Linked DNA regions of Pelodiscus sinensis. The protein of the gene in region 1 interacts with the protein of each later gene in a pairwise test. Links are inferred from orthologs where the notes say so. Each region holds a gene or a part of one and is shown on either strand. Other genes may lie near its edges. The genes, in order: TRIM23, AQP1, HOXB5 and LGALS8.

The links.
Region 2: the proteins of TRIM23 (region 1) and AQP1 interact in binary tests that used the Homo sapiens proteins (3 or more experiments, as listed by UniProt). The two-hybrid records come from large-scale screens. The link is inferred for Pelodiscus sinensis from reciprocal best matches to the Homo sapiens genes TRIM23 and AQP1.
Region 3: the proteins of TRIM23 (region 1) and HOXB5 interact in binary tests that used the Homo sapiens proteins (3 or more experiments, as listed by UniProt). The two-hybrid records come from large-scale screens. The link is inferred for Pelodiscus sinensis from reciprocal best matches to the Homo sapiens genes TRIM23 and HOXB5.
Region 4: the proteins of TRIM23 (region 1) and LGALS8 interact in binary tests that used the Homo sapiens proteins (3 or more experiments, as listed by UniProt). The link is inferred for Pelodiscus sinensis from reciprocal best matches to the Homo sapiens genes TRIM23 and LGALS8.

Annotation. Positions count from the first base shown.
Region 1 is NC_134716.1:90,184,301-90,191,937, forward strand, and holds the start of TRIM23 (E3 ubiquitin-protein ligase TRIM23), read left to right. Parts: upstream 1-4,231; 5' UTR 4,232-4,380; coding exon 4,381-4,515; intron 4,516-4,606; exon of another isoform or gene 4,607-4,740; coding exon of another isoform or gene 4,741-4,854; intron 4,855-7,637. Other genes in the region: TRAPPC13 (trafficking protein particle complex subunit 13), read right to left, coding at 3,731-3,776.
Region 2 is NC_134712.1:249,462,031-249,469,780, forward strand, and holds the start of AQP1 (aquaporin-1), read left to right. Parts: upstream 1-4,294; 5' UTR 4,295-4,512; coding exon 4,513-4,902; intron 4,903-7,750. UniProt on the Homo sapiens protein: Forms a water channel that facilitates the transport of water across cell membranes, playing a crucial role in water homeostasis in various tissues.
Region 3 is NC_134739.1:14,168,279-14,176,488, forward strand, and holds the start of HOXB5 (homeobox protein Hox-B5), read right to left. Parts: upstream 3,447-8,210; 5' UTR 1,430-3,446; coding exon 877-1,429; intron 125-876; coding exon 1-124. Other genes in the region: HOXB6 (homeobox protein Hox-B6), read right to left, coding at 4,257-4,516, 5,748-6,159. UniProt on the Homo sapiens protein: Sequence-specific transcription factor which is part of a developmental regulatory system that provides cells with specific positional identities on the anterior-posterior axis.
Region 4 is NC_134713.1:127,305,887-127,314,134, reverse strand, and holds the start of LGALS8 (galectin-8), read right to left. Parts: upstream 3,251-8,248; 5' UTR 2,978-3,250; intron 636-2,977; exon of another isoform or gene 477-635; intron 1-476.

The DNA.
Region 1 (7,637 bases):
GATCCCAGGCAGGAGCCATGTGGGGAGGCAGCATCACTGAGTCTGGGTACCCCAAACCCCATCTGTAGCTATGGGGGGGGGGTGTCAGAAGCCAGGAGCTCAGGCAGGAGCTATGGGGCATGAAAGCTCCAAGTCCTTGCAGGAGCTGGGGGAGGAAGAGGAGAGCCAGACAGGACCACAGGGCAAGAGGCATAGCCCTGAGTCTGTCAGGAGCTGTGAGGGCTGGAGTTGAAGAGGGTGGCAGCCCCCACCCAAGTCCTTGAGCTTAGACAAGAGCTATAGGGGGTAAAAGCTCAAAGTCCCAGCTGGAGCAGCAGGGGGCAGCCCACAGCCTAGGACCTGGGCAGGAGCCAAAAGAGAGGGGGCAGCACTAAGCCTGGCAGGAGCTGTGGAGTCTAGAGTTGCATGGGGTGGCATGCTCCAACAAAGACTCCTAAGCCCCAGCTCGGGGTGGGGGAGGGCGGAAGGAGGGAAAGGAAGCAGAAGCCCCAGAGGTCAAGCACAAAGATCCCAGAAAGAGGCCACAGGGAGGCTGGGGAAGGCCTGAGCTGGGCAAGAGCTGCAGAGGGTGGCAGCCTACTAGACAGGTCTCCTGAGTCTGAGCAGGAGCTATAGCTAGAGCCTGGGTGGCCCCCAGACTAAGGAAGAGCTGAAGCAGAGAGGGGATAACAGCAGCCCAAAGCTGTGCCAGGAGTTGTGGGTGGCGGTGGCGGCAGCAGCAGCCAACCCAGCTTCCCCGAGCACTGTTCCCCAGGCCATCTGCCCTGAGCTCCAGCAAGAGGCAAAAAGGGTGGAAGCCAAGAGCCCATCTTCATTTTTGTGCTGCCTGTGGAAATAAATCTGATCTCCCTCTGTCATGCAGGGGACAGCTAAGTCTTGTCCCTCTGCAACATGGCTGACCTCAAAAAAGTCACATTTCATAGGAAAGAGTTTCACGATTCTTGACATGCATTTCATGGGTAGGGCCCTGCTTATGTACTTGAGTAGTCCCACTGAATTCAACTGTTACAGGATTGTGGACTTCATCTTAAATTACTCATTAGTGCTACTTAACATGAATGTGCAGGTACAATGATAAATGACAATGCCAAAAGCAATATCACCTTTATTCAGAGACAAAAAGGAAGACAGATTATTTAGTGCTCTGCTCTCATTGCTACAGGTTCCAATTCACTACTGACAAAAATTGTCATCACGGCACTATGGAGTTCATCTCCCTTGCATGTTTGACTTGAAGTACATAGAATAGAAAACTCATTAAATCAGTTATGGACTGTGGAGACGAAGAAATAATTAAGTATGTAGTTGTCTGTGGAGCAAAGAAGAGTTAGAAGACAAAAATACATATGGATATCAAATGCTATCGTCTTACGAACATGTAAATATTCTGCTGCACATGCTGAAACTCTTCTGCAAACTGAGGTTATTGCAGAACACAGAGTTTTCATCACCCTAAGTCAAAGTTGTTTACGTGCTCTGTGACTTCCACAAGCTTTCTAGCCTTTCCCTCTCCAATCCATGCAGAACAGTATCACTACAGTAGTCATCCTTTTCCCAACTAGATCTTCTCTCACCCTCACGCCTCTTCACCTGCAAAGCACTGCATAGCTTTCCCACCGCCCATAGCTTTGTGTTTCTTTCAATCCGACTGAGGTGTTTATAGGCTTGACCAATCTCCTATTAATAAAACAACATTCTTCACTTGTATATTTTTCCTTCAAAGAGTTTGAAGTACTTATTCCTGAGTGAAAAATTATGCACCAAACTCCCATACCTTCTGCAAATGCTGTTTGTTAATGAATAAATATGGAGGTTCCATCACGGCAGTGGAAAACACAGGTCACTGGCTGCATGGAGGTGGATGATCATCGTACAGCCCTATGCTCACCCTTATGGACTAGCTGCACCGAAGCCTAAAACAAGGGAAGAGCCAAGCCTGCTCCTAATATATCCCAGGATCCTGTCCCTCTACACCAAGCGCATCAGGTATGTGGAGGCAGGTCCAGATTGGCAAGATCCAAATGTAAAGGGGTTTAGTGTGTGGGTGGAGGGGATCCAAGTGTGCAGTGAGTTCTGTACGGGGCAATGTGGATGCAGGTGGACTAGTGGGGGCTTGAAGTATGGGAGTTCTGGATGCAGGAACAGTGGTTGGTACTCTGCATGAGAGGTCTGGATGTATGTGAATGGTTCTCAAAATGGGTTCTATTGTGTGTGTGTGTGTGTGTGTGTGTGAAGCTTGTTTGGATGGGGGCCCAGGTGCATATGTCTGGGGCTTAGAGAAGTAACAGGCTCAGTGGGGTAGTCCAGGTTAGGGATATAAGCAACTCATCTACTGCCCAATAAGCATATGTTTATTGGGTAGTCAAGTACTGACTCCATTAGTCACTTCCCTCTGTCCCCGACTTGCTGCCACCATGAGAGAGAAGCAGAAGTTGGGGGAAGCAGGAGCCAGTGCTGGGGGAAGACAGCTTAAAAGGGCCAGGAATCAGCTGTCCCGGCTCACGCCTTTTTCTCCCATTATGCCTCTGCCTTCTAGAGGTATTTAGAGCCTGGCAACTTTTAATACATTTAGAAGGCAGAGATGCAGCAGGGTTAGCTCCCAGCCAGTTTCCCTCTTATCAACGAATCGAGTAGTCGATGGAAATTTCATTGACTACTCGACTAGCTGACTACCTGCAATTTAACATCCCTAGTCCAGGCAAAAGTGTATTAGGCTCTCTGTATTAGGCTGCACAGAAGCTGCACAGAAGCTTGGGGGTGGGTGGGGATTTGGCTCTGTATGGGATGGTTCTGTCTGGAGACACTCATTTGTTGAGTCATCTCTCTAACTGAGTTCCCTGAAGTCCGTCCAGTCAGGTTTTCTGGGCCCTGGAGCACAATACATGCTTAAGATTTAACCTCTTCTTGCCTGTGCTGTATCCAGGAGGAGGCTGGATTATGTTAGTAGCCAGCAGCAACCTTAAGGTGTTAGCTGCTTTTTGACAGTGGGCAGGGAGGCAGGGACAAAATAGTGGATGGTGGGGGAAAAGAGAGGAGTTCTGCAAGGATATGCTACTACCCACTGTGTAGTGTGCATGCATGCGTATGCATGTTTTCTCCCTGTGAGCTCTCAAACTTTAAAAAATAAGACAGATGGCCACTCACTTGAAAGTGAGTAATTTTTTCTGTCCTATATTCAGCATAGGGAGATATGGTCACCCTACACACAACCCACATCGTCTGATTACATAAGTGTTAATCTCTGCCCAAGTCCTACTGAAAACTAGCCTATGATGCAGTTCTTCCCCGTCTGCTACTGCACATTTCTGTGACACCTCCAGCAAGTGCAGCGGTAAGCAGGCAGCCCCCAGGACAACACCTGTGCGGTTGCTCTTTAGTACACGCAGGTCTTCACTCTTCCTCCAAAGGCGCTAGTCGCACCGGCCCGCTTCTCATGCCACCCCGCAGGGCAGGGCAGCGCCGCCTGAGCAATACAGCCACTGTCAGGGCTAAGGGGGAGGCAGGGGCCCACCCCCAGGAACCCGCGACATACCCCCGGCCCGCTTCCCTGCTCCACCCGGTGGCCCCAACCGACAGCCGGTGCCTGCGCCTCGCTTTCTGCCCCACCCCCGGCGGAGGGCCTGGGGCTGAGGCCTTCCAGGGACGCGCTTCACCTGCCGGCCCAGCCGGGGAACGGGCCGCCGCGGACGCAAAGGTTTGGGGGAGGGGCGTCGAGCTGCCGTCTCGGTACCTTTCAGAGCCAGCAGATGCTCCTGCTTCGGCTGATTCACATCCATGGTCTCGGGCACCCCACGCGGAGCCTTCGCCGCCCACACCCCGGCCAAGCGCCTGCCAATGGCGAAAGGAACACGACGCGGCTCCGCAACTTGAGCCCAACCGAGCGAGTCCGGGAAAACCCGGAGGTGAGTTTCCCGGCATGCAACGCGCCATTTGGGCCCCAGCAGGAGCGAGAAAGCACTACACCCCCCAGCATGCACTGCTCCCTTTGAGCCTTGGCACGCACAGAGGAGCACGAGGGACTTGCGCACGCCGAGCGGTGATAGGAGGAGTAGTCTTCTAGGGAACCTGGACTAATCGCGTTGCATGCTGGGAGTTTAAGTCTTCTCAAGGTGACTGAGCGGATGTCGGCGTATTATCTCCGAACCTGTAGTTTTCACGAGTTGAGAGCCATTGTATGATGGGAACTGTAGTCTTCCTACGTCTCACGGGGAATGAATGAGACGCATGCGCAGTGACGTTGTCGGCGGCCTCCGGAGAAAACCCCGGCAGGATTATTTTTCATTTCTGCGCGGATGCTTCGCGTAGTGACGTCACAGCGCAAGGCCGGTGGCGTCAGCGCGTGGCCCGTCCTCCTGTCTCTGCTGGCTTATTGGCTTGTTGATGCGGAGGTGGCTCGTTCCGCCTCCCTTTCCCAACATGGCGGCTATGAGTGTAAACAAGGCCGGGCCCGGAGCGGCGCTGGATACCGGCCCCCGGCACAGCGGTAGCCGGGGGCCGGCTGGGGCTGCTGTCAAGGTAAGAGGCACCGCGTCCGCGCGGGGGCTGCCCGCCCGGTTCGTGCCACAGCGCTTGTCGGAGCGTAGTGATGCTGCGCCCCTGCCCCGGGAAGGGGGCTGGGTGGTGACCCGCGCGGGGCTCGCAGCCTTTTCCCAACTGCGTCAAACAGCCCCTGTGCAGCCGCCGCCGCCTCTTCCCGTGGCTTCCGCGCGGGCATGGAGAAGCCCGCCAGAGGGAGGACGAATGATTTGCTGCGGCTCCTGGGTCCCGTCGGCTCCCGCGAGTGCAGGCGGCAGCCCGCTGGGAGACGAGTGGGCTCCTAGCGTGGGGGCGGGGGTTGGCCCTACCGACTGCACGGTCCGTTTAAAATCTAGGGTGTCACAGCTTCAGATCTTTAAATCTGAAATTTCATGGTGGTGTAACTATGGGGATCCTGACCCAAAAGCGCGGGACAAAGCTGTTTTAGAAGGGTTGTGGTATTGCCACCTCTATTTCTGCACTGCCTCCACAGCTCGGTGTCTAGAGAGTGGTGGCTGCTGGACACCAAGAACCCAGCTCTGAAGGCAGTGTTGACAGTTGAAGTAGGGGTAGAGTAAGGGTGACAATAACATAGCATGTTACCCTTTTGCGCTGCTGTGCGTAGCCTTGACCAGGAGCGGCCACCCAGCTCTTCAGGTAATGCAGAAATAAGGGTGCCAATGCTGCTATTGTCTTCTGATAGCCAGATTTCATTTACAAGACCATATTTCACAGTCCGCTAGAGAGTCTGGTGAGGAAAGTCAGGGGAGGGAGGCACCATTGGCCACGTGATTCTCCCCACCCCACCCCTGGCTGGAGGACGGCTTACACAATGCCTCTCTGCCTCAGGACCCACCTCTTCCTATCGCGGCTCCACCCCTGTCCCATCTCTTTCCCCAAGACCTTACCTAGGAGTTATGCAGCCTGCAGGACTAGCAGAAGTTTGATGCGGGTAGCAGGGTTCACAACCTCCCTGCACTCACCCACAACAGTGAAGAGAAGTGGAACAAAGCACTCCCCTAATTGCTGGCTGCTGTTGCTCTACTTCCCACCATTGAGTGCAGAGGAGGGTGGTCCTGCCCAAGCCCCAAATGGTTGGTAGCTGGGATGGAGGAGCAATGTTGCTCTGCACCCTTCCACCCTCTCTCACCCAGCCACTGCAGTTGAGTGCAGGGGCCAAACCCCTGCTGTGAGCACCATGCTCCCTAGCTAGTTTCTTGGGTTGTCCAGAATCTCTAGCCCTTTGCTCATCATGCCCATAGTATTAGGGGGATCGTGTGCACCCTCGGCCTTCTTTCATGCATTATCTCTGCAGTCCTAGCTGTGAATTTGGTAGGGCCCTAAATAGGGATAAAATACAGGACTATGTAGCACTTTAAAGACTAACAAGATGGTTTATTAGATGATGAGCTTTCGTGGGCCAGACCCACTTCCTCAGATCAAATAGTGGAAGAAAATTGTCACAACCATATATACCAAAGGATACAATTAAAAAAATGATGAACACATATGACAAGAACAAATCAAATTTCAGAACAGAGGGAGGATGCGGGCGGGGGGTGGGGGGGCGGAGGTAGATGTCTGTGAGTTAATGGTATTAGAGGTGATAATTGGGGAAGCTATCTTCGTAATGGGTGAGATAGCCAGAGTCTTTGTTGAGACTCAAGCGTAGAGTGTCTAATTTTAGCATGAATGACAGTTCAGAGGATTCCCTTTCAAGTGCAGATTTAAAAGGCTTTTGAAGCAGGATGCAAGTGATTAAGTCGTTGAGACAGTGTCCTTTCTGGTTGAAATGGCAAGAAACTGTTTTTTCTTTGTGATCCTGTCTAATATCTGTTTTGTGGGCATTGATCCTTTGGTGAAGTGTCTGAGACGTTTGTCCAACGTACAAAGCAGACGGACACTTTCGGCACATGATAGCATAAAATATATTTCTGGATGTGCAGGAATATGTGTTCTTGATCTTATAACTCACTTGGTTAGGTCCAATGATGGTATCAGCAGAGAGAATATGTGGACAAAGCTGGCACCGAGGTTTGTTGCAAGGGAAGGTACCAGGATTGGTATTAGTGTGGTATGTCCTGTGGTTGTTGGTAAGAATCATCCTGAGGTTAGGTGGTTGTCTATAGGAGACTATGGGTCTGTCTCCCAGAGTCTCTTGAAGTTTAGTGTCCTGTTCCAGTATGGGCTGTAGTTTATTGATAATGTGTTGGACAGATTTAAGTTGGGGGCTGTAGGTGATGACAAGTGATGTTCTATTGTTGGTTTTCTTGGGTCTGTCTTGAAGTAGATGGTTTCTAGGTATTCGTCTGGCTCTTTCAATTTGCTTTTTTATTTCTCCGGGTGGGTAGTTGAGGTTTATAAATGCTTGATAGAGATCCTGAAGTTTCTGGTCTCGTCAGTGGGATTAGAACAGTTGTATCGAAGAACGGTTGTATCGAAGGGCTTGGCTATAGATGATGGATTGTATGGTGTGTGCTGGATGGGAACTGGAAGCATGTAGGTAACTGTATGAGTCGATGAGTTTTCTGTAGAGGGTGGTCTCTAATTTTCCATTGTTAATTTGTACTGTGGTATCCGGGAAATGGATCTCTCGTGTAGAATGGTCCAGGCTGAGGTTGATGGTGGGGTGTAGATTGTTGAAATCTCTGTGGAACGTCTCCAGTGTTTCTTGCCATGCGTCCAGATCATAAAGATGTCATCGATATAGCGTAAGTAGAGAAGGAGTAAAAGGGGACGGGAGTTGAGGAAACGTTGTTCTAGGTCAGCCATAAAGATATTAGCATACTGTGGGGCCATGCGTGTATCCATTGCTGTGCCGCTGATCTGGAGGTATAAGTTGTTCTCAAACTGGAAATAATTGTGGGTGAGAACAAAGTTACATAGGGTCTGGCCCATGAAAGCTCATCATCTAATAAACCATCTTGTTAGTCTTTAAAGTGCTACATAGTCCTATATTTTGTTTCAGCTACAACAGACTAACACGGCTACATCTCTATCACTATTCTAAATAGGGATGTAAGCAATTAGTCGCTTCCCCCCACTTGCTGCTTCTATCAGAGAGAGGCAGCAAGTGGGGTAGCATGAGCCGGTGCTGGGGGGAATTGTCTTAAAAGCTGGTT
Region 2 (7,750 bases), on another chromosome or scaffold:
GGAATAGGCCTGCCGCAGCTCCTTGATTTTGCTGTGCACCTGCTCCTGGCTGCGTATGTGGCCTCTGGTGGCCAAGCTGGCAGCCATGCAGCTGTGGACGGCCACATTCCTGTACCTAATGTTGAGATCATGGACATTGGAGGCCTCCCCCCAAATCTCAATGAGGCCCACGATCTCCGCACTTGACCAGAAAGGCACCCGCCTTTTGCGGCCCCTGACAGGCTCTTGGAAGCCGCCAGCCTGGTCCTGGGGAGCGGTGTAGGGCTGGGTGTCAGCGGGTGGCTGGCTCATGCTGTGCCAGGTGCACGGTCTGCTGGCTGTGTGCTGTCAGGCTGGCAACTGGCACAGGCACTGTGGCCAGAGTCTGCTCCTTTAAGGGCTCTGGGGCTAGGGCGGGAGCAGACAAGTTTTCCTGGTTTGGCCCAGAGTGGCACCAGGGGGAACTGGGAAGGGCTGGAGGCCCCCTAATTCGAAATAAGTGTCTACACAGCACTTATTTCGAATTAGCTATTTCGAATTAGGTGTTATTCCTCGTAGAATGAGGTTTACCTAATTCGAAATAAGGGCTACGCTCTTTCGAATTTATTTCGAAACAGCAGTTTGTATGTGTAGACAGCTATTACAGTTAATTCGAAATAACGTCTGTTATTTTGAATTAACTCTGTAGTGTAGACATACTTAGACTCCCAGGATAGCGCACATCTCTTCTCCTTTGACTTTTAAACTCCCTTCACATCAGTGGAAAACTCCCGGAGATACGATGTTTGCTCTGTTGACAGCAGAAAACACATTTCAAAGGAGAACCCAGTATTGTGTCTCTCATTCAAATGGCAGGGAAATCTGAGCAATTAGGCATATCAGGAAGGGTAGAATAAACTCCTTGCATAAAGCTAATGAACTAAAGTATTTTATGAGGGTTTGTCCACTTGATGCATTAATGCTGACTGTGGGCTGTGATTTCTAAAGCATACTGACATGTTGCACACTGATCGGCCTGTGGACCCTGCTGGTGCACTCTGAAGGTGACCTGGGCTATGTCTGCACAGCAGCGTTATTTTGGAATAACTAACGTTATTCTTTAAAATTTAAAAAATATACGGAGATATACCTATCTCATAGAACTGGAAGGGACCTTGAAAGATCATCTAGTCCAGATCCCTGCCCTCAGGTAGGATCAAGTACCATCCCTTACAGATTTGCCCCAGATCCCTAAATAGCTCCCTCAAGGATTGAACTCACAACCCTGGGCTTGAGTGAAATAACAAAGAGCATATCTACACTGCAAGCCATTATTTCAAAATAATAACAAGCTGGACGACTTCTTACTCTGACTCTTGGTAACCCTCATTTCATGAGGAGTAAGGGAAGTCAAAGGAAAAGCACTCTTCCTCCAACTTCCTGCCGTGTAGACGTGCCAAAAGCCGAGTTAAGCTACTCTGACTCAAGCTATGCAATTGACGTAGCTCAAGTTGTGTAGCTTATTTTGGCTTTAGCCCTGCTGTGTGGACGTACCCCAGTGAGCTCTAACAGCATACTGCATTAATCATTTGGCATGAGACATAGGGTTGCTTGCTAGGGTGATCTGAAGATATCTCAGCAAATCAATTCCCTGCCATTGCAGAGGGCTGGGGCCCTGGTACACCAGAGCACCTGAAGATCTCTGCTTGTGGCACACACTATTTTAGTTCTGTGAGGGCTCTAATACTTGAGTCTAATTCAGCTGGTTGGGTTTGCTGCTGGGGTGGTGAGGGACATTCAGTAGCCTGTTGTGTAGAGGAAGTCTGACTGATGTGCTGGTCCCTTTTAGCCTTAAACCGTATGGCTGTGTCTAGACCGGCCGCTTGAATTTCCACAAGAACACTGACTTCCTACTGTCTGAAATCAGTGCTTCTTGCGGAAATACTATGCTGCTCCCGTTTGGGCAAAAGTCCTTTTGCACAAAGCTTTTGCACAAAAGGGCCAGTGTAAACAGCTCAGATTTGCTTTGCGCAAAAAAGCCCCGATGGCGAAAATGGCGATCGGGGCTTTTTTGTGGAAAAGCGCGTCTAGATTGGCACGGACGCTTTTCCGCAAAAAGTGCTTTTGTGGAAAAGTGTCCGTGCCAATCTAGACGCTCTTTTCCTCAAATGCTTTTAATGGAAAATTTTCCGTTAAAAGCATTTGCGGAAAATCATGCCCGTCTAGATGTAGCCTGTGACTTTTATGCACATGGAAGCTGATGCAGATAAGATAGGATGATATATCATAGTATTACAGAGGTATCATTGGCAAACATAGATTTCTGCCTGTATCTCATGCATTCTTTCTCTGATTGCCACCAGTTTTTGTACTCTACCTCTGTACTATTATTATACTGAGGGGACTGACAGAATTGCCCCTGAGCAAGGTGGGGAGTGCCTGGCTCTTTGCTCCTGGAAAAGGCAGGGCTTTGGGCAGAAAGGGTGGAGTTGGGGCATGCAGTGTTTTGAGGGCCATTTAAAGATCTCGGAGTTCTGGCCTCCATTGTGGTAGCAGTCCTTTTTCTTTGTTGTTGCTGTTTTGTTTCACTGGTGCAGATATATTTTGTAGGTGTATAAAGCCTGTCCTAAAGAAAACCAAGCACATCTGCTGAACAGAAAGTATAAGAACATAGCACAATAGATTGCAAACAGGTTAGCACCTGGATTTTGATTTTACATGAAATTAAATTGAAAAGAACTGAATATCTTTATAAAAATCTCCTTGACTACATAACATTAGCTCTGTGTGTATCTGTCAGATTTTTTTTTCTTTTTTCATACCCATAGTACATGCTGTGTGAATTTAAAATCTCAAATGGCAAGTAGGTAGAATTATAAATTCATAGCAATACATAATAATAATGGTAAACTTTTTTTTTCTTCTCCAAGAAGAAGGAAAAAATCAGGCTGATTTTAAATTTATTCATGCTCTAAGAACTGTTTCCCCACCCCTGAATTTGGATCAGCTCACATAGGAACTTTGAAGCCAGTGTTTGAAAAATGAAGATACTTTGACTTAGAGAACAATGAATTGCCAGCCTTTAAAGTGCACACAGATCTGATAACACAGGGGAGGTAAGCCAATGAAATTGCACGGGTCTTAAGGCGGCAACAACTGAGGCTCTTAGACCTTTGGCACTTAAAGATGTATTGGCACCTTTGCAAGATTAATTTTGTATGCAAAATAAAGCACATCGTTTTCATCTTCCTCTCTGGCCAGTACTGTTTATCTGCAGCAGCAGAAGCCAGTCGCCGTGGTGACAACCAGCACAGCTGCCCTCTGGAAGACGGAGGTTAAAGAAAAGTTTGCATACAACTTTCACTGCAGGATTTGGGCAAGTACTCCAGCGTTGTGCTTATTTACTGAGAATAGGGGTGTTAACAGGGGAAGACTTGAGAGACCCTAATAGTTGTTACAAGAACATAATAAAATGGGTGCATAGTATATAGGCTATTTGTAAATATATATGAATGGCACATGCACATAAATGACAAGTACAACACACACACACACATATTTTATTTGGGGCCAGATTCTAATCTCAATTACACCGGTAAAAACCAGAATAGCTCCACTGTCTGCAGTAGAATTATTTCTGATCATATAGTTATGCATTATAAATTCTACAATTTATAATATATATAAATATATACATAAATGTGTAATATCTGGGTTTCTATTATTCCTCTCCAGCTCACCTGATGAAGTGGATTTTGCCCATGAAAGCTCGTGATACTATATATATCTTTGTTAGTTTTTAGGGTGCCACAGGACTACTCGTTGTTTTTAAAGTTACAGACTAACGCAGCTATCCCTCTGAGACTTTCTGATCATAATTAGACATGTATAAAGCCTCCAAATTACTTCAGTGAAGTTCTTCCAGATTGACACCATAAAACCCCCTTGGGATCTGAAACAAACTATAGAGTCTTTATAGATTGACACCAGTGCCTGATTTAAAATGAAATACAGTGTGATCTTTACAGTCTCTAGAGAGCACTTTTAGCTGTCAGTTTTATTATTTATCCACTTTCGCAGCCTGCCTCTGCTGTAACTGAGAGCAATTAAAACACAATCCTGCACAGATACCTTTTGGTTGAGTCCAAAGAGAGAGAGAAATCCTGTAAAACCTTGAAGCCCAATCTGCATGCTCAATGACCACATAGAGGGTAACCAAATGATGGTAAAACTTCTGGGGCACCCCCTACACATTCTTTTATAAGGATTTTAAAAAGCCTCTTAAAAACAGCAGCAGAGATCGGAGTTTCTGAGGGGAGGGGAAAAGAGGAAAAAAAAAGTAGAGAAGAAAAAACTTTGGCACGCATGTACTGCCTTACATCAATCTATGTAGATGTTCTTTCCTCCTTTTGTGTAACACCCCTTTCCTCCTACAGACCACCCAAAGCCCTATAAATAATCCAAGCACTCTGTTTTTTCTTCAGCTTTCTCCTCAGACCTCAAAAGAAAAATATCAAGCAGGGGAAGGGAGGGTGTGTGAGAGAGAGAGAGAAGATGGCTAGTGAATTCAAAAAGAAAATGTTTTGGAGGGCAGTAGTGGCTGAGTTCTTAGCCATGAGCCTCTTTATTTTTATCAGCATCGGCTCAGCACTGGGCTTCAATTTTCCTGTAGTCGGCAACAAAACAGCAACAGCCACTCAAGACAATGTAAAAGTCTCTCTGGCTTTTGGGATCGCTATTGCCACCATGGCACAAAGTGTGGGTCACATCAGCGGTGCGCACCTGAACCCGGCGGTGACCCTGGGTCTTCTGCTGAGCTGTCAGATCAGCCTCTTTAAGGCTTTCATGTACATTGTTGCACAGTGCCTAGGGGCCGTGGTGGCCACGGCGATTCTTTCGGGAGTCACTTCGTCTCTTCCAAACAACTCCCTTGGACTCAATGCGGTAAGCAGATAAGCTTTTCTCTTTCACTTTCAAGAAGTGCAAAAAACTGTGTTTAAAAGAGGTTTAATCCAAAACCCACTGAAGTCAATGGACACCTTTGCCTTGACTTCAGTTGCCATAGGATCAACTGTTTAAGGCTTATACGGTCACTTGGTAGCACAGCTACTCCTATAATCCTAAGGATAGCTAAACCATCTTCTATAAACTCCAGTCATCTGAAGAAGTGGGCTGTGCCCACAAAAGCTGATGATACCATCTATATGTTTTGTTAGTCTATAAAGTGCTACCAGACCATGTGTTGTTTTTCTGTTTATCCTGTACAGACTAACTCGGTTAGTTAGCATCTTCTGTAAGACAGAGATCAAAGAATGGTCCTCTTTCCCCTGAATCAAGGTTGTATGTTTGTGATTACTGGAATCACATTATGTTTGTGTTTGCTTTTCTGTGTCAAGCATGAGATAATCAATGCTACCTAATGATTTTTAGATGCCCTAATGATTTTTAGATGCCCGATTCTCATTTAGAATGATTGGTAACTGGGTGTTCGAATTCCTTAGCAGACTTTGAAAATCTCAGGCTACGTGCCTGGTTCTGGTGATGGATGTACATTTGTATTGTGTTCAGGTTACTCTGGGAGGCTGTCAGATTAGGGGTTCAGATAAGGCCAGCTAGGATGCTGTGTAAGAACATTGGTACAAATCTAAGTAACCACAGAGAGAAAAAGAGGGAAAAGGGGTAGGGGCAGGAGAGATCGGTAGCAAATGAAACCCTGTGGTCAAAACTCTACAATGAAATGCTCTTGGTGCAGATTTGCTCTCTGATATAGAGTCATAGCTGCCACTTGTGTTTTTGTTTATTCATAAACAGACATATGGAAATGTCGAATTGTGAATTGCACTGTTCGTGAGGCGGGGAGGCAACTGTCTATGAAGGCACCCTGGATTCAACACTTTTACAACCAGATGTTTTTTTGGCTGTGTGACTGTGGACAGGCATTTCATTAAAGCTGCTCCGATCATTTAAATGCAGCTGTTCCTCCTTAAAAGGTTGGCATTTGGCCAGAGTGGCATCTAAATGGATACACATATCTTTAAGCATTTGTCTGGCTTAGAAGGAACCTATTTTCAGTTTCAGTCACATAACCACAAATACCTTGTTAGTGCTACCTATAAGAATATTAAAGCTGGGATTTCCCTTATGGCTAGTTACTCGATCTGGTTGTATAAAGTGCATTTATTTCACATCTTCTGGCTGTTCCCGCCCATATAAAAAAATTAAGCTGCAGTTTGTGACATTAATATTCAGCATCCAGTTTAATTGAGGGAGCATATTTGCAAGTGAAGAGTTTGATCAGAATGTGATTTTACTATAAGTAACTCCTTTAGAAGAAAGAGAAACAAACAAAAAAGTCAGGGAGTATGAAATGAACAAACAATGTAGTGTGGTTTAACATACTGTGGAGTCATAGGCAACTACAATTAATATTATGAAAAATATAGTGAACGTTGATATTTAATTCATTACTCCAGACTAAAATTGGGTGTCGTCAGTCTTCATGTTCTATTCCAATATAGGTTGCTTGTTTACCTTTCTGGAATCTGTGGATACAGGAATTTGATAATCCATCTATCCACTCAGCTTCTAAATTTGGATAATAATTATGGGTCTGACTCAAAGCCCAGGGGAAACAATGAGAGTCTTTCCATGGACTTCAGTGGGCTTTGGATCAGGATTTAAAAAATGGTATGTACTCATTCCCTGTGAAACCAGTGCCAGGGGGAACTAGACCATGCAGGAGTGAAACACATGGGACATGAAGTAACCAAAGAAGGCTCCTGCAAACACCTAGCTGCCAGCTGCCATTAAATGCGGGTGGTCTGTTTCCCAGAGTTTTAGCATTTGGATTTCCTCATCTGCACACTGGGCAGCCATAAAACTCTTGCACATTGGTTCACCCTAAAATTCAGAGCCCTGAATCTGGACTTCTGTAGAGTGGGTACGTGACACTAGTCAAAACCCCTCTTGTTTCTTTGACTACCTCCAAGTTACAAGGATTATATACACTGGGTGCAGGCAAGGGGTCTATGGACCTTGAAGAGAAGGTGTCAGGGAGGCGGGGGGAAATTCAGAAGATGGTGCTGAAATGACAAGAAGGCAGGGAAGAAAATCATACAGGGCTAATAAAGCAAATACGGGCTGTCTGGGAAAGCAACCATCCCTTTAGAAAAAGTGTGTCCTCCACTTGGGCATGTGGCCTCAGCTTTTAAACAGACCACAAAATCAGGAACTACTGTATTTTCCGGCGTATAAGATGACTGGGCGTATAAGACGACCCCCTAATTTTCCAGTTAAAACATAGGTTTTGGCCTATACTCGCCGTATAAGACTACCCCCCCTTCCGAGGCAACACCATTTAATAACATCAGATTTGATTTATCGTACTTGCACGCCCGGGGGCGGCCCCCCCCATAGCCATGCGCCCGAGGCCGGTGCCCCCTCCGAGGGCTGCACGCCCGGGGCCGGTGCCCCCACCCGCAAGTGCCACGCGCCCGGGGCCGGCGCTCCCCCCGCCAAGCGCCACGCGCCCAGGGCCGGCGCTCCCCGTGCCAAGCGCCGACGCTCCCCCCGCCAAACGCTGTGCGCCCGGGGCCGGCGCTCCCCCCGCCAAGCGCAGCGCGCCCGGGGCTGGCGCTCCCCCCGCCGGTGCTCACCGTGCGCCATGTGCCCAGGGCCAGCCCCGAGCACCGTGTTGGGGACCAGTATCAGCACAGGTACGTTCTATACCCGGCGTATAAGACGACCCCCGATTTTTGGGGGATGTTTTTTAGTGTAAAAAGTCGTCTTCTAC
Region 3 (8,210 bases), on another chromosome or scaffold:
TGGGCGATTTCTATTCTCCTCCTCCGGGTGAGGTATCTATTGAAGTGGAATTCCTTTTCCAATTCTAGGGTCTGGTAGCGAGTATACGCGGTTCTTGCTCTTTTACCGTCTGGTCCAGTCATGTCTGAATGATACGGACAACATTGGGTTTGGGTTTGGTTTTTTTTTGTTAGATCAAAAGGCAAATTATTCCCCTCCCAGGACAATCATGAATGTGCACTTGGTTATTTCAAAATAGCCTCCCCTCCCCCACGTGTAGACACCCTCCCCCCAATCTCCCAGTTCCGGCATATACAATTCAATATTCACGATTTAACTGCACCCTAAAACTCTTATCATTTTACCTACTGTGTGTGCGTGTGTTTGGATCTGCAAAATATTGACTTCCCCTGCCCCCCCCCCCCCTTTGCAAACCGCTGTTCCTGGTGCAGTGTGCTCGTGGGTTTTATTTTGTAATTAGCAGATTGTCAAGAATACACACACCCAAAATAATAAAGGACCGGGAGCCCCATCTGTCCAGATAAAGCCCGTTTTAGTTCTCCCCTCTCCTTTTCTCTCCCCTCCGCCCCCCACCTTTCCTCCCCCATCCGCAAATCTCCCCGCAGTTTTGAATGACCTTTTCTCTCTATACATATATGTATATATATTAAATAACCTCACATTTCGCGGCAGGGTTACAAAGACGTGGCACGGAAGGCAGTTTTCGGCTTAAAAGCACCGATCAGATAAATAAATACGAGGAGAGAAAGAGCTGGATTTCTTAATCAGGCGCCTCCTCCGCTCTTCAAATAAAACCGGGGAAAGAAGGAAGAAAGGGGAAGGGGGAAAAAAAGCAGAAGGGGGAAAAGGGAGGGGAGGAATAAAAAGTAGCTGTACCATGGCTAATGTGAAGCTTCCTCATCCAAGGGAATATTTGTGGTGTCTGCCCTTCTGTTGGTCCTGTGGATGTAGCCACGGGCTCTGTCTGCGCCCTGGAAATATTGTTGCTGTTTATTTGGGTGCCCTCTTCGGTCCCCGAAGACGCGCTGGTCTCGTCTATTTCTGTGAAATTTGTGTTGGTGCCGGCAGAAGGAGCCGGGTCGGAGGGGGACGGGGCGGGTTTGCCTCCATGGCTGTCGCTGTTGGAGCAGGGAAGGGACTCGGGAGAGGACAAGGAGCAGCTAGACGCCTGTCTAAACCTGCTCTCCTGCGCTGGCGGTGAAGAGAAGCTGCGGGAGCTGTCTCCCACCGCCCCAAAGTGGCTAGAGGAGGCCGAGCGGTTGATGCTAAGGTCCATCCCATTGTAGTTGTAGGCATAGGAGCTGGAATGCATGGTGCCTGAATCTCTGTACGACCCGTTCATAGCACTGCTAGTCCCATAATTTAGCAACTGATACTCGGGGCCATTTGGATAGCGCCCTGAGAACGAGTTTACAAAGTAAGAGCTCATTTGGGTTATTTTGGAGGGCTTGATTTGTGGCTCGTGGTCGTTATAACCCGGTGCTTGACGATTTATGATGTATTAATGAATTATAGCAATGCACTGTACTTCGTTTTTGCTATGTATGCGGCCAAATATGGGGGGGGTGGGGGTGCGTTTGGAAATCACGTGCTTTTGTTGACCAGTCGTAAATTCTCACTGATGACCTCAAGAGGTAATTCATGCTCTATGGTTACAAATAATGACGATCTGAGAATCGTTAAGGCCCAAGTCAATGCAAGCCTGGAAAAAAAAAATTCAGAAGACAGAGATTTTTTTCCACGTTGGCGGAATGCGCCACCTACTGGGCGCAGGGTGACTCAGCAGGCGTGCAGGGTGACTACCCACCTTTTAATGTATTTTTAAAGTAATTTCGCAGCAATTTGCACTCTTCGTGTTTTTATTCTTTTGTTAAAAAGCACACACACAGAAATGCCCCCTCATCCATGTTCATCCCGAGCATCTGCTGTCATGGTTTTTTAATTTTTTTATTTAATTTTGCAAGTGGAGGGAAAAAATGTTGATCAGATCCAACTCGGGGATTATTGTCAACAATCAGTTTTACTCCTGTGATCTTTGTATGGGGGTGGTGACCGTTTTTAAATGATCCGTCTTTTATAATAATGACATTTGTGGTGGGGAGTGGGCGGACAAGTCACCTTTGGAACTGGCGCTTCTCTGTTTGAATACCTTGGGAAAATAACGGAGCCTGCTGAAAGAAGAAGAAAAAAGCATGTGCGCTTTATTTATTTAATTTATTTATTTTAATTGGCACAATGAAAGTTTGGCTTTCTCCACCTTCTCATCATATTATCAAGTGCACAGTAACACCTTGTAATTCTGGAGGGAAGCGACAGGAAGAGAGATCAGCCGTTGAAACTCGGTGACAATGTTGCTTTTAAGATATTCTTGGACTTAGCCTCCCTCTCGCACACCCCCCTTTCAATACAACATAATTCTATTTCCCCTCATCGCAAACCTGCAAGAAATATTAGGTAGCAAGGAAAACCTGAAACTTGACCGGGCGGTGCTTTTTGTTCAACGCTGCTGGGGTTTTTTTTCCAGGCAGTTTAGGAATTTCAAATGCTTGTCTGCAACTCATTGGAAATTATGCGCCATATTGAAAGTGACATATAATTATAATAATTACGGGCAATGAAAAGAGTGGCAATAATAGTAAATGTCCTACAGCTGTGCCGCTTCTGCATGAATTGATTTTAAAAGTGACTGGCATTAAAACAGCTTGTGACATGAGGGAATGCATTAATACATAGGTATTTTTTGGGGGGGGGAGGAATAGTTCTTTTGAAAAAGCATTTTTTTCTCTCGCGTGAAGCCTCCTCCATGTGACTAGAATTGAGTTGAGCAATGGCTTTGTTTTAAATCTGCTCACCCCAAGGAGAAACACCATTTCTTTTCGTTCATTGTGCATTTTGAAAAAGCCAAGAAAAGTTTACTCCATGGCCTCTCCAAGACCTCTTCGGTCTTGAGCGCAGAGAGCAGCTTTTCTCAAACTCCAAGGCACAATGACATTGCCAGGAGAGCCAGCTGAAAGAGGTGTGTGTACGTCCATTTAGAAAACACCCTCACTGATTTTATTTTTTTTATGCTTAAATAATGCTCACCGTCTTGGAGTGGAAAAAAAGTTTCAACTAAAAAATAAATAGGAAAAGCCTGGAACCTCGCTTTGTTTACACTGCCCATCTCTCTGATTTTGGAAAGTGAAATAAGGGGCCAGATGTTTGAAAGATGCTCGACAAACATTATGTATCTTCGGTCGAGAGGTGGGAGCAGAATTTTGCCTCTTCCTTTGATTTATTATGTATATGGAACGCTTTCCCTCATAACTCTAGTTACTGTAACAATAAAAAAGCCATCTTAAAGCACAGTGTCAGCTCGGAGATATGGTTGGTGAAAGGTCCCGCATTTCAGATTAGGCAAAAAGAGGGAAAAGCAGATTTATCTCTCAACTGTAACGTCCGTATGCCGCCAGTTGCTTGTCCTAGCTGATTAGAAGTGTCACACGCGGGTAACACCAGAGCCTGCCTCGCTAGCAACCATTCAGCTGCACAGGAATGGCACATTTTCATAGCTAGGGCTAATAATACTGTTAATGACACCAACGGGCTGAGCAGGGGTGCGAATACTTTGCTTTTATTAGAGTACTCCAGGTCCATACCTAAGACAAACTACAAACACGACACGTACAAAAATTAATAAAATAGAATATTTCTTGTTGTTGCTTTTGCATCTTTGTAGGTAGTACTTGTTCCTTCAGTAGGTTTTCCTCTTAAAAATGAAACTAATTACGAAGACCCCAGGGTTTGATTAATTTACCAAAAGGAAAAAGCAACCAGGGGTGGGGGAATCTATAAGTCAATCGTGCATGAAACATTTTACAAAATTAAGACAATAAACACCAAAAATGACACATATTGCAGCACCTCCATTAAATACAAGAGTTAGCAGGTTACTAACAGTGACACCAAGGGGAGAAACACAGGTAAGAGTTCCAAATTATTATTATTTTATATTATATTATATTTGGAGGAATAGAACGAAAAAAAACCCTCAACTAGAAGCCTGGTTTTATTTTTATGACACGACAGATTAACTGATCACGAGTCCATCGGTGCAAAGTGATGTCGGTGGCAGGCCACCTTCAAACTGTCTCGGGTATTTTACAAAGCGTGCACCACGTCGGGGTGCGTTTTTAATGCCACTCCAACCCGTTCCCCCCCACCTTCTCCCTCCTCTAAGTGTGGGTACATTCGCTCTTTCTCTTAAATATTTTTTTTCACTCCGCGGCTTTCTCTTCCTCCTCCTCCGCGCTCAGCTGCGTGGAGTTGAGCAGTTTGTTTTCCTTTTTCCATTTCATCCTCCGGTTTTGGAACCAGATTTTGATCTGTCGTTCTGTGAGGCAAAGTGCGTGTGCTATTTCGATTCGCCGACGCCTGGTCAAGTAGCGATTAAAGTGGAATTCTTTCTCCAGCTCCAGCGTTTGGTAGCGGGTGTAGGTTTGCCGGCCTCTTCTGCCACTTGGCCCGAAAGATGAACCTGTTAGGCAAGGAAGGGGGGAAGGAGAGGATACCCAAAGGTTTATTCGAGTTCAGATCATAATGCCATTTGGGCCGGACACTTAGAACTCTGCAGAGTTTCTGTTTAGGGGCGATGGAGTCTGTCGTTCTGCCTTTGCTTTCCGCTTTACCTCCTTGCACCAACCCAAAGTCATCTAGGCAAAGTGCCCCGGGCTCCTTCTTTTGCAAAGCCAGCCCCGTAGCAAACCCCCTGAGTTCGCCTTGCAATGGGCATTGCTCCCTTTGCTGTCTGCTGCTTCTCCTGCATAGCTCGAAGGCATGAAAAGTTCTGCCAGTACCAGCCATTTGAGTGCCGGGCTTGGAAGACCCTGCTCGGTCTGTCTTATTCCATTATGTAAAATCTCAAGGTGTCTCTCCCCTCTACCCCCACACACCTTTGTGTTTTTCCTCCCTACCGGCAGCAGTAATAGATCTGGGCATTTAAGCAATAATGAAGTATATCGATCTAGACAAACTCTGTGCATTAAAGGGGATCCAAGACTCGATGTCCTCACACTAATGGACATCAATTTGGAACTTAAAAGGCAACAAATAATGAATGTAAACATGGGAGGACTGTTACTTTATTTTTGGATTGAAGAGATAGCACTTAAACCAGCTATACATCACGGGGGGGGGGGGGGGGAGGGAGCATTCTCCCATGGCAGACTTTTCATTACGCGTTGAGTTTCATTAAAACTGTAGTTCTCTCTTTTCAAATATTTAAGCCCTTTTACATTATTTAATTCCAGCGAGGGGAGGGTGTGTGTGTGTGTGCGCGCGCGTGAGTGAGTGTGTTGGTGTGTGTGTGTGTGTGTAGCCATACTGTTGTCATTGCGAATAGAAATCTCTCTTGTATGTGCAGAAGACACCGAGTTAGATAAATCATTGGAAAGAAGTGACATACGGATTACAGCGTGCAAAAGAGAAAGAAGATACGGGCTTGTCTAAGTATGGCACAAACTTTTTTGTGTGTGTCTTTAAAAAAAAAAAGAGGATCTGGTGAAAGAACCGGGCGAGAGAGCAAGACTGCCATAAAGTTTTGGGTTGTGTCAAGCATAACTTCGAGTCCCGTCCATTGCTGGAAGTTGGATCTGCGCTAAATTTCCTGTTTTCCTTTTGCAAATAAGAAGAGGCGGGAGGGGGCAAGGCGGCGGGGGTGGGGGGGCGGAATAAATATATATATATATATATATATAAAAGGAACTCACTGTTGCAAGAATTCATCCTCTGCATCCAGGGGTAGACTGGGGTAGAACACTTCTGCTCCTCACTTTCCCCGAAAACAGTTTTGCTCTGGGCGCAGTCTGACTTCCGCTGGTCTGAGGCAAACGGGACATGGTCCTCCAGATTGGGGTTGGCACAAGCAGGGTCTTTCTCCCTGTAAAACCCTGCTACCCCATAGTCACAGGCGGAGGTCCGGCTGTACGCCCCGTTCGCTTGCTGGTAGTAAGAGGAGGAAGGGTAACCCTTTTCCTGCACTCCGCTGGTTCCATAAGTAGCGGGGTAGTGTCTTAAAGGATCCGCATATCCCGAGGCATATAACGGGATTTGTCCCAGGAAAGGCTCCTGCCCGGCGGCCAGGCTCACCGGGAAAGTGGAGTTGACAAAATAAGAACTCATTGGGAGGAGGCAGCGGTCCTTCCCCGGCCTTATGATTTGTTGTGTTTTATAGTCCAAGTGGTTTAGCTATTAGTAGTATATCGGAGATTGGGTTTTAGCTGAAGGGGATGGCTGGGAGCCAGCGAGGGACACAAGGAAGTAGAACCATCTGATCATGGACTGACCAATCGCGAGCGCCTGAGATTGCAAAATAGCACCCATGAGGGGTTTGCAGTGCACGGGGGACCCCCAGAACAAACCACCCGACCCCTCTTTTTTCCTCCCTTTTCAACTACCACACGCACCCCCTTCACCAGATACGTTATGATCCGCGAGAGAGAAATCCCCAGACATTGGGAGTCTCTAAAACAATCATTAAAAACACACACACATACACCAAACACATACAACAGAGAGAGAGAGAGAGAGAGAGAGAGAGAGAGAGAGAGAGAGAAAGTTGAATCCTTTTATTCTGCAAAGTTTAATCCCTGGTTGCCTGTTATTGCTTGCAGACTATGTGGGTAATAGTGCTATGATTTTTCTTTTTCTTTTTCTTTCTTTTTTTATTTATTTATTTTTTTGCATCGAAAGCAACTTTTACTTTATTTTTTATCGGGATGGGGGTGGGGCTAAATAGACCGTATCTGTTCAATTAGCTCGGATATAGGAAAGGAAAGGTGGGTGCTGGAAGACGGGAGAAGAGAAGTCAAGATTGGTAACTTATTTCTCAGGTTTATCCAATGGATAGATTGACAGAGAAAACGCTTCCTTTTAAAGGGTCACACGCTGCCTCATCGCATTCTAGGTACTTATTTTGTGGAAGAGTTGCACAGCCAGGAGATGAATGGGAATCGAAGTGTTACCTTTATTCCGGGCTAAACACTCATCTAGAACTAGACATATGTCCCAAATTGTGCCCTCTTGCGTTTTATTGTTCATACCAAATCTATGTTCCGACCCTACACAGGCAGCGTTCGCTTACGGCCAAGAACTGTCTGTATCGATTGCCACTGATCAAGATTTTTTTTTAAATACAGTTGTTTGGCGTGTCTAACGGGGAACGATCACTCTGGCTCTCATATTGTAACCCCCTTTCCATGTGGGTCTGGTTCCCACTACCAGGGACTTATTTGGGAAAAAAAAAGTTGACACCTCTCAAGGAATAAACTCGAAATTCCGTGGGGTTTTTTTCCTCCAAACTAGGGCGAAAGACCGAATGAAATGAGTTTGGGCTGAGAGGGGTGGCTCATATTTCTGCTTGTATTCATTAGCGGTAGGTGTGGTTGGCAGTGGCGAGTCGCTTCTTCAGATTGCTCTAGCAGAAGACATGGTGAGATTTAAATATTTGGCCAGGCATGTTAGAGTCGTGTTTTTTTCAGAAATGTCCTCAGCAATAAAACTGAAAATGGAGTGGTTTCAGGGGCATTTCCAAATTCATACCTATCTGTCTGTCTGTCCTATGCAATGAAATATACAAAACACCACGTACACACCTAGATGTGTGTGCTTCGGCCCTAGGATTGCACATCATTTACATGGTCACTACAAAACTGCCAATTTCTGCCAATTTATGAAACTGTTCTCTTATTAGGAGCGAATTTATTTTAAACACTGTGTTTACAGCTCCAAAGCCAGAGGATTTTATGCCATCCCTGCCGTGGGCACTGGTCGGAGCGTTCTCTTTATAATTCAAGGAAATAACATGCAAAGGAAATAGTTTCTCTCCCCTCCTTTCTGACTGATGTCTATTATATTTGTTCTTGCAGAGTTTTCCTTTGTGTATGGAGTGGACCCAAACCTACGCAGATTTGGTTTATGGGCATGGGAACACGAGATTAAAAGAGAAACTTGACAGTCCGTTGGAAAAAAACAACAACAACCGTGTATTGAACACAATGAAGTGAATCGCTTTGCAGAAGGCAAACGCTCAGACATTTGATTAGAAAGTTTACGCAAAATGTGTCTAAGAGCAAAACCGCGAACAGCTGGGATGAATTGCACAGCCATGCAGAATATGGGGCTATGAAGTTTGAATCCCTGATAATTACATGAGTGAGTAAAAATTGCTGAAC
Region 4 (8,248 bases), on another chromosome or scaffold:
CAAGTTTTACATAATAATGATAGTAAGAGAAATGTCCACCTTTAAAAATAAAGCAGTGCAGTAAAATTAATTTGCTTGGCTCTAAACGTTCCCATGCAATGTCTGTTCCCTGAATTTTCCAAAATTGTGTTAGTACATCAGAAGTAGAAAGTGAATACAGAGTGTATAAAGTGAATGACTCATTTGAGAAAAACCTAAAAAGTAAACAAAAGAAGACCTTCATGAAAAATAAATTAATTTTAAAGGTTTAAATTTTAATGATCAGAGGAGTTTAATAACATAAGACATTTTTAAAATACAATTTTAACCTTGCCATTTTAGTTTTCTTGCTTTGTTTCTTCTGTATGGTCCCCCTCACTGGATTCAATCCTTTTTCTCTGCCTCCACACACACCTGGATTTTAAACATTTCAACTTTTTTTCCAGAAAGGATACTGTCAATCTGTTTTAATCATATTTAATTTATATTTAACTTACCTTTGTAACTAATAACCTCTTCCAAGCTTCAAACTGAAATCTGACTGTAAAGCATATGCATCTATATCCATTTCTGACGGCTTTAATTCAGCTGGTTACTCTGCTTTGCACAGGAAAAATGGTTCCTCCACTTCTACTTCCTAATTCCCATGGACCAACACAATGACATCACCACATGCATGTGGCTCAGAAAGCCTGACTTCTTTCTACCGACATTTCTTAAAGGACCAGTGTAAGTTTCTCAGCTCCCATGCTGACAATGTGGGTTTATTTTTTATTGTGCCTCTGTTTCTGCTAGAGGTAGGTTACTGTTTAAAACTGCCTTTTGAAACCAATTGCATTATTCATTTCATACTTTAATTTCTTTGTATGCACTTTAAAATAGTAGTATGAATTTAATCCTGGGGAAAATTGCTGCCTAGGAGAATGACATTCTTTCTTTAGCTGCTTACTAGCTCTCCTTCTAGCATCCTGCTTGGTATAGAGTTGGGAACTTAAATCAGCCCCATGTCTGTCTTCTGCTACCTTGCTTCCAAAAAATGATCAGGAGGACACAGATTTTGCAGGACACTAGTATCTACAGCAGGGGTCAGCAACCTATGGCTCACGGTTCAGCACCAAACATGGCCTAGTGGAGCTGTGTGGTGGGCAGCAGCCCTGTATGTCAGAGCTGGAGTCGGGCCACGGTGCAGTTGTCTGTACTGGGACAGCTGCACCACGTTCCTGGTTCCAGCTCCAGCGGCTGCCATGCGGTCTAGCGGAGCTGCATGGTGGGTAACTGCCCCGTGTTCCAGAGCTGGAGCTGAGCTGTGGTGTGTCCGCTCCTGGGACCAGGGCCATAGTGCAGCTCCAGGAGCAGCTGCACTTTGGCTCCAGCTCCAGCCTCAGCACATGGGGCAGCCACCAACCTCACCTCTCTGATGCCATCTGGCTGCAGCGTCCTGGCCCTTGCCCTGATCCTGGGGCAAGCCCCATAGTCCAGCCCCCATCTGGCCTCAGGAAGGGCTGGGGGTAGCCTCCACTCCTGCTGCAGCATGGGTAGGAGGGGCGGCCATGATCCTGCTGCGATAATCCTGGCCCAGCCCCTCGTCCAGCCACTGCTGCCCAGGTACAGTAGCCCAACCCCAACCAGACAAGGTAATCCATCCCAAGGGCCCCTCCACATACTCTGTTTCCCACCCCCAACACCTGGCTTGCGTCCTGCATCCCATCCCTGACTCTTGCACCCCCACATCCACAGACCCCTACCATAACACTCCTGCACCCCCCATACACCCCAACCCTGTGCCTTGAGCCCATCATGCAGCCAAACCCCCCTGAATCATGTCAAAGGTACTTTGCGCTCAGGATTGACAGAGGACAGCCTGAATGCATGCATGAGGCTGAATTTGAACAGTTATGATGTAAACTTCAAAGAAATGTGCGAAAAGATGCAGCAGCAGAAGTCCCATTAAATAAAGTCTGTGAGTACAATGTTTCATGTATACTATTATTAATCATCACCAGGGCTTGCCAAACCACGGCGAGCCCCGCTCGCCAGCCACACTGTCCAGCAATCTGCGCATGCGTAGATAGTTCTGCGCATACGTAGATCGCCCAAACCCAGCTCTTCTGGATTACAATCTACTCGCCCGTCGAGCCCTGATCATCACATCAATTATCAATAATATGAAGTTGCATATTTTCAGCCAGGTAAATGAGCATTCTTTGTTGACCACTTGTTCTGAATTTTTTGATGTAGTTTGGCTCTGTGGTTTGAAAAGGTTGCCAACCCCTGATCTCCAGTCTTGTCTTACCAGCTCACCACTGAACTTTTTACAAGTAGCAAGCATTTGGCATCTCTCCCATGCCATCTCCTCAGGCAGCCAGGTAACCCCCCTCTTCATCTGGAGACTGAGACTTAGCTTCAGCAGGACAGGTAAAAAGGCCCCAAAATTGGCCCTAGACTCCCCACCCCTCCCAGGTTTCACTCTATCACAAATCCTAACCCAGTAACCCAGGTACCCAATCCCCTCGCAAAGCGAACTCAACAATATATAAAACATGTTTAGTCTTTAAGGTGCTACTTGTCTATTTGTTGTTTTTTAAGTTTTTCTGTTACGGACTAACTCGGCTACCCCTCTGAAGCTTTTCAGTGATATATGACAGTTTCTTTCCTGTGTGGGGGTCCCTTGTCACAGCTTATGGAGTGCTGTTTGGTGTTTAGTTGCCTCTCCAGAACTCCTTTTTTAAGGTACACGGAGACAAGTGAAAGCTCCAAGCCTGAGCGAGAAAAACCTCACCCAACCAGAAAGCCTGGTCAGAGCCCAGCAGCTCCTGGCACAAGGTGGGATTTCCATCATTTCCCACTGGCATATCAGCTGCAGGAAGCCAGACAGACACAGGCTGCAAAAATATCTGCTACACGTAGTATGTAATGCAGCAGCAGGATAACATATGGGTCCTTGTCCTTCTCCAGATTTCTGTTCCCTGACAGTTCTCTGAATCTGCTGTTAACCTACCTTCATTTGCAGCCTGGGATTGGGGTTGGAAACTGGTGAGCTTTTCCTGTTTCCACTCTATTGCCATGGCCACCAGGGAGCTGTCTGCACTGCAGCTGGGAGGCGTAATTGCCAGTTTAGATTGCTATGGATGTGCTAGCTCTGCTCAAGCTAGTGCAATAAATTAGCAGTGTGGCCTGAGTAGCATGGGCAGGCTTGTACTGGTGACCCTGTGCAAATATTAAGGTGGCTACATATTACCCCCTATCCCACACAGCACTGCTCTCCTGCCAGCTGCACAACTGTCATCTCCAACTGTTATGGAACCTTCTGGCTCTAGCATTCCGTTACTGTTGGAGTGAAATGCATCAAAACGGCCTTTCCTCCTCAGCACTGAAACGTGGTGTTTACACAGGTGCAAACTCTGGCCCCCTTGCTGCTTAATGCAAATTGTATTAATTTTAACAAAAAAATTTTTAAGGTAGATTAGGGAATTGCTGAGAGCCTCATAAATCTGTGTCCATCACAACTCCCTCAGTTTGGGTTGCCAGGTGTCTGGCTTTCCCCTGGCACACCCAGCTGGAAAGGGACAGTGGCAGCTCCAATTAAAAGTCCAGTTGGCACAAAGATGACAGGCTCCCTTCCTGGCTCCTCACAGCTCCCAGAAGCAGTGACCTGACCTGTGGCTCCTAGGGGGAGGGATGGTCACAGAAGCTATGGGGCAGGCAATATGCAGATTCAGGGTTTGAGATGCAGTGTGGCTGCCTGGCCACACTTCTGCCAAGGAACTGAGGTACATGTCACTGCTTCCGAGGAGCCCCCCATGGTAAGCACCACCCAGAACCCACATCTCAAAATCCCTCCCTGTGCCCCAACCCTCTGCCCCAGCCAGGACACCCCCATCACACCCAAACCCCCTCCCACACTCTGAACCCCTCAGACCCAGCCCAGAACCTCCTCCTACACCACAAATCGCTCTTCTCCAGACCCACCCCAAAGCTCCAGCCATCACCCTCATCCCAACCCTCTGCCCCTGTCCGACGAAAATGAGGGTGGGGGAGAGCAAGAACAGAGACAGGGCTGGCCCTACCTTGAGGTGAACTGAGGCAATCGCCTCAGGTGCCAGACTTGGGGGGAGGGGTGCTACTGGGACCCAGAGTGTAGAAAATTGTGTCTGCTGCTGGTGCATATGTAGGTAGCAGAGCAGTACCATGAGAGGAGTACAACAAGTAGAAGGCAGAATTGAGACCTTTCAAAGTTTTGGCCCAAGCAAGGAGGCATGGGGCGTCATTTCAGCTCCCCGCCTCAGGTGCCAAAATGTTGTGGGCCGGCCCTGGACAGAGGGAGGGCAGAAAAAGTGAGCATGTAGCCTCAAAGAATAGAAAAGGCAGGGAGTGGGGTAAGGGTCTTTGGCTTTTAGAAAGTTGACAGTCCAACCCGCACAAACATTCTCTTTGAGCAGGAGCGGCCCGAGGCCAGCTGCAGCAGCTGGCGCCCTAGGCGGAGCGGCGCAATCGCCGCCTCTGCCTGCACGGTCGTCAATGGCTGTGACGTCATCACAGGGTGCATGGGGCAGCGGCACCCTAGGCAACTGCCTAGCTCGCCTAGGCTCACAGGCCGCCCCGTCTTTGAGGCAAAAACTCCTGCCCGCTTTGTATGTTCTTGCAGCCCAGTTAGTGGGAGGCTGAGGTGTAACAGAGAAGAATATAATGAACTTTTAATATAGCTGTTAAGTTCCTGATTACATGGACCTTGCTCTGCCCTAAATTTGTATATTCCATGCCAACATATCTGATAGGGGATGGAAGTATTTTGTGAGCAAAAGTGCCCACAAACAGCATTCACACATGCTGATGGCAACGTGGGGTCTGAAAGAGAAGCAGCATGGGCAGCGGGTATGCTAGGTGGGGCAAGGCATTGCCTTTCCCAACTGCCAGCCTGGGTCCACCCATACTTTGCCTCCAGAACACCTACTGTAGGTGTACTGGGGGGGAGGGGGAAGAGTGTTGCTGCCCCCAAGTGCCTGCCCTCCCTGTGCTCAAGACCTGGGGAGACTTGGGCTGCATGCCCTCTGCCCTCCTCATGTTCTGGGACCAGGGAGGCTCAGGCCACACGCCCTTTGCCCTCCCCCTGCTCTGGGGCTGGAGAGGCTTGGGCCGCATGCCATTCCACTTCCCCGTGATGGGGGATGGGGCCTCGGAAGAATGGGCAGAGCTGGAGGTGCACCTGTTCTGAGGATAATTAGGACATCAGTCTCCACTGCTGTCCAGCTATTAAAATGAAACCTTGTTGCAATTGTTAATTTTTAAAATGGAATGTTCAGAGTAGTTGTTTTTGGTTAATTGGTTTATTTACTTATTTTGGATTGTTCCAAAGTTTGACAAAATATAAGTTTCAAAGAAAAAGCAACCCTCCCTCCCCCCCTGGCTGTTGCTGACTGTGAATGAAATGCACCCACAGGGTTTGAGATGCAGTGTGCTCCAACCCTGTATCCCTGCCCTGGATGCACCCCAGGAGGCAAGGATAAGAGGTTGTAGGAAGGTGTGGGGACATTTTGGGGATGAGTCCCATTCACTGCACTTACACCGCATGCTAACTAGGCACCCCAGCACACGCAACTTCTGGAAGATCAGGGACGGAGGAGCTGGGAGCAAGGGCAGGACCAAGCAGCTGCTCTCCTCAGCACAGCTGGGGGAGGGATGATCCCCACCATCCTGGCAGCCAAGAGCTGCCTCCCACCTTTCAATTTTGCACCCTGCTCCAGGCAAGCTCTGTTCAGCAGCAAGGAGCCAACTGCAGGAAGCTGAGGGCAGATTTTGGGGCAGGCTCCCATTTGCTTCCTGGGCACACCTACCCACGCAACCCCTGGGAGCACAGCAGGGGCCAGAATGTAAAGTGGAGATCTGGCAACTGCACTGAAGGGAGCAACTGAGGCATGCACAGTGGATGAATATAGGGCTGGAGGAGGTAAGACCCCACCCTACTCCTTCTGCCTGTAGCCCCACCCCTGCTGCTCAGGTCCTTGTGGGAGCTAAGCTGCCCCGCACCGTAGGAGCAGGCCACCGTCGTCTCCAATGGGAAGTGCGCATCTCCAGCCCTCCCCAGCCCTGGGAACACATAGGTGTACAGCAAACCAGGGTTTAACACTGTTCTGACTTGTTCCCATTGGCACTGCCAATAGACTACATCAAGGATTGTTGGCATAGAGAAGACTAAGAAATTTGCTCCAAAGAGTCTGGGATAGCAGAAGTCCTCTGTATGTGTCTAAGTCAAGCGAGGGCTGCATACATGCAGAAAAGCCACTGGGCTTGGACCTCCAGCTCTGCAGGATCCAGGAATTCTAGGTTTGAGCCCTAGAGTCAGAGGTGCTGCAACACTTTGTATAGTGGGTGTGCTGAGAGCAGTTGAACCAAACTTGAAATCCTGTCAATATTGGAAACCACTTCAAGCCAGGGGTGCAGAAGCACCCCTGGTTCTAGCACCTATACCTAGATTAATAAAGCTAGTGTGTGGATGCAAGGGAGGGGTGGGCTTGAGTGCAGGCTCAAACATGTGCTGGCTGAACTTACCCTAAGAGTCTTGAAAGCTTTAATTGGATATAATAATGGATCATCAATAATGGATAATAATGGATCATCAATATTGTTATATTAGGAATCGATTAAATAAGTTGATAGCCTATCCCATTTACACACTTTTCTTGGCTGAGAGTTTTTAGTGGCCTCTTGTGATTCTTCTTTGGTAAGTTAATGTTTTAGCCCTGACTAATGTTCTAGATTTGCCTTGTAGATTAGTGATTTTTGAAAAATATCAGTCCTATGAGTCAGACCCTGCACCAACTAGTACAGGTACTTAAAAAAAATGCCCCTGTTACTTCACCAGTTCCAGCAGGCACCATGACATTCATAGCCTCCTCCCATCTGAGAAGGCTGTTCACTGGTATTCCTTTAAACCAGGGGTTGGGAACCTCAGGCCCAGGGGCTTGATGCAACCCTTGGCTTGCCTGGATTCGGCCCCCAAGGCTCAGCTCCTCCCCCAGCATTGGGAAGCCCATGCTGGTGCTCCAGTTCCCCCACCATCCCACAAAATCTACTAGGATGGACACCCCTAAGCTCTAGTGTGTGAAGGAAATGTTCAGAGTGTCTTTTTCCTTCTCAGGCCAGGGGCCACATCAGTGAGGGGTTTTTTGTTTTTGTTTGTATGTTTGCTTCTCATTTGTGTGCAGCCTCCAACTGATTTTTTTTTCTGTGGGTCAGTGGCCCCCAACCCAAAAAAGGTTCCCCGCCCCTGCTTTAAGCATACCATTGCTGTGTTGTGTCAGGTAGTACTAGTTAATTTATCCAATACACATGGTGTACGTAATGCCAGTGTTAGTTCAAGTGAAAGGATACTGAAAGCTGTTTCACTGTCTTACTTTTTAAAATCAATAGGCAACATTGTAATTTATTTTTAAAATCAGACGTACCTGGAGGAGTTCTGATTACAAACCAATGGTATAATAGCTTTTTAATTTTTATTATGGTATTCTGTCTTAATACAAAGAATTAATGGTAAAAATTGTATCTTATTTATCTGCATTACAGTAATACCTAGAGGTCCTGAACAAGATCAGGGCTCCCTTTTGCTAGATGCTATCCAAACACTTAGCAAGAGATAGTCCCTGCTCCCAAAGAGCTTACAATCTAAACAGATATGAGAGACGGGAAATAGTAATAGCCCCATTTTGCCCAGGGGAAACTGAGATACAGTGAGATTGAGTAACTCGTTCAAGGTCATAGAGGAAGTTTGTGGCTCAGCAGAGATTTGAACAAAAGTCTTGAGTCTGAGTGCCATACCATACCTACAGGACCATCCTGTCTTTTGAGTTTTTAAATGTTGCATATCTTCTTGTTGAGAGATTGCTGAAAAATATTTAGCTATTTTTCATTTCAAGAAGTGATCACATTTTTGACTACTGAAGACTAAAAGATTGCAATACCATATTGTACCACGAGGTGGTACGGGTTGTCTGATAATTACTGTCGCCAGATAATATCTGAAAACCCTCTGGGTGTGAAGTATTTCCCAATTTACACAAAAAAGCCGTTTGGAATTAAGAAAATATGTCAGTTTGGGTAAATCATTCTTGTCAATGAGTGAGCCAAACATAAGGTGGCTTGCAAATGTTTTGTGACATGACACAACATTAAGAGCCTGGTAGGAGTTGGATGTGTTCTCCACATCCTCACCCATGCAGTTCCTCTACCAACCACATTGGCCACACACACACCTCTGTTTGACACATGAATTCAC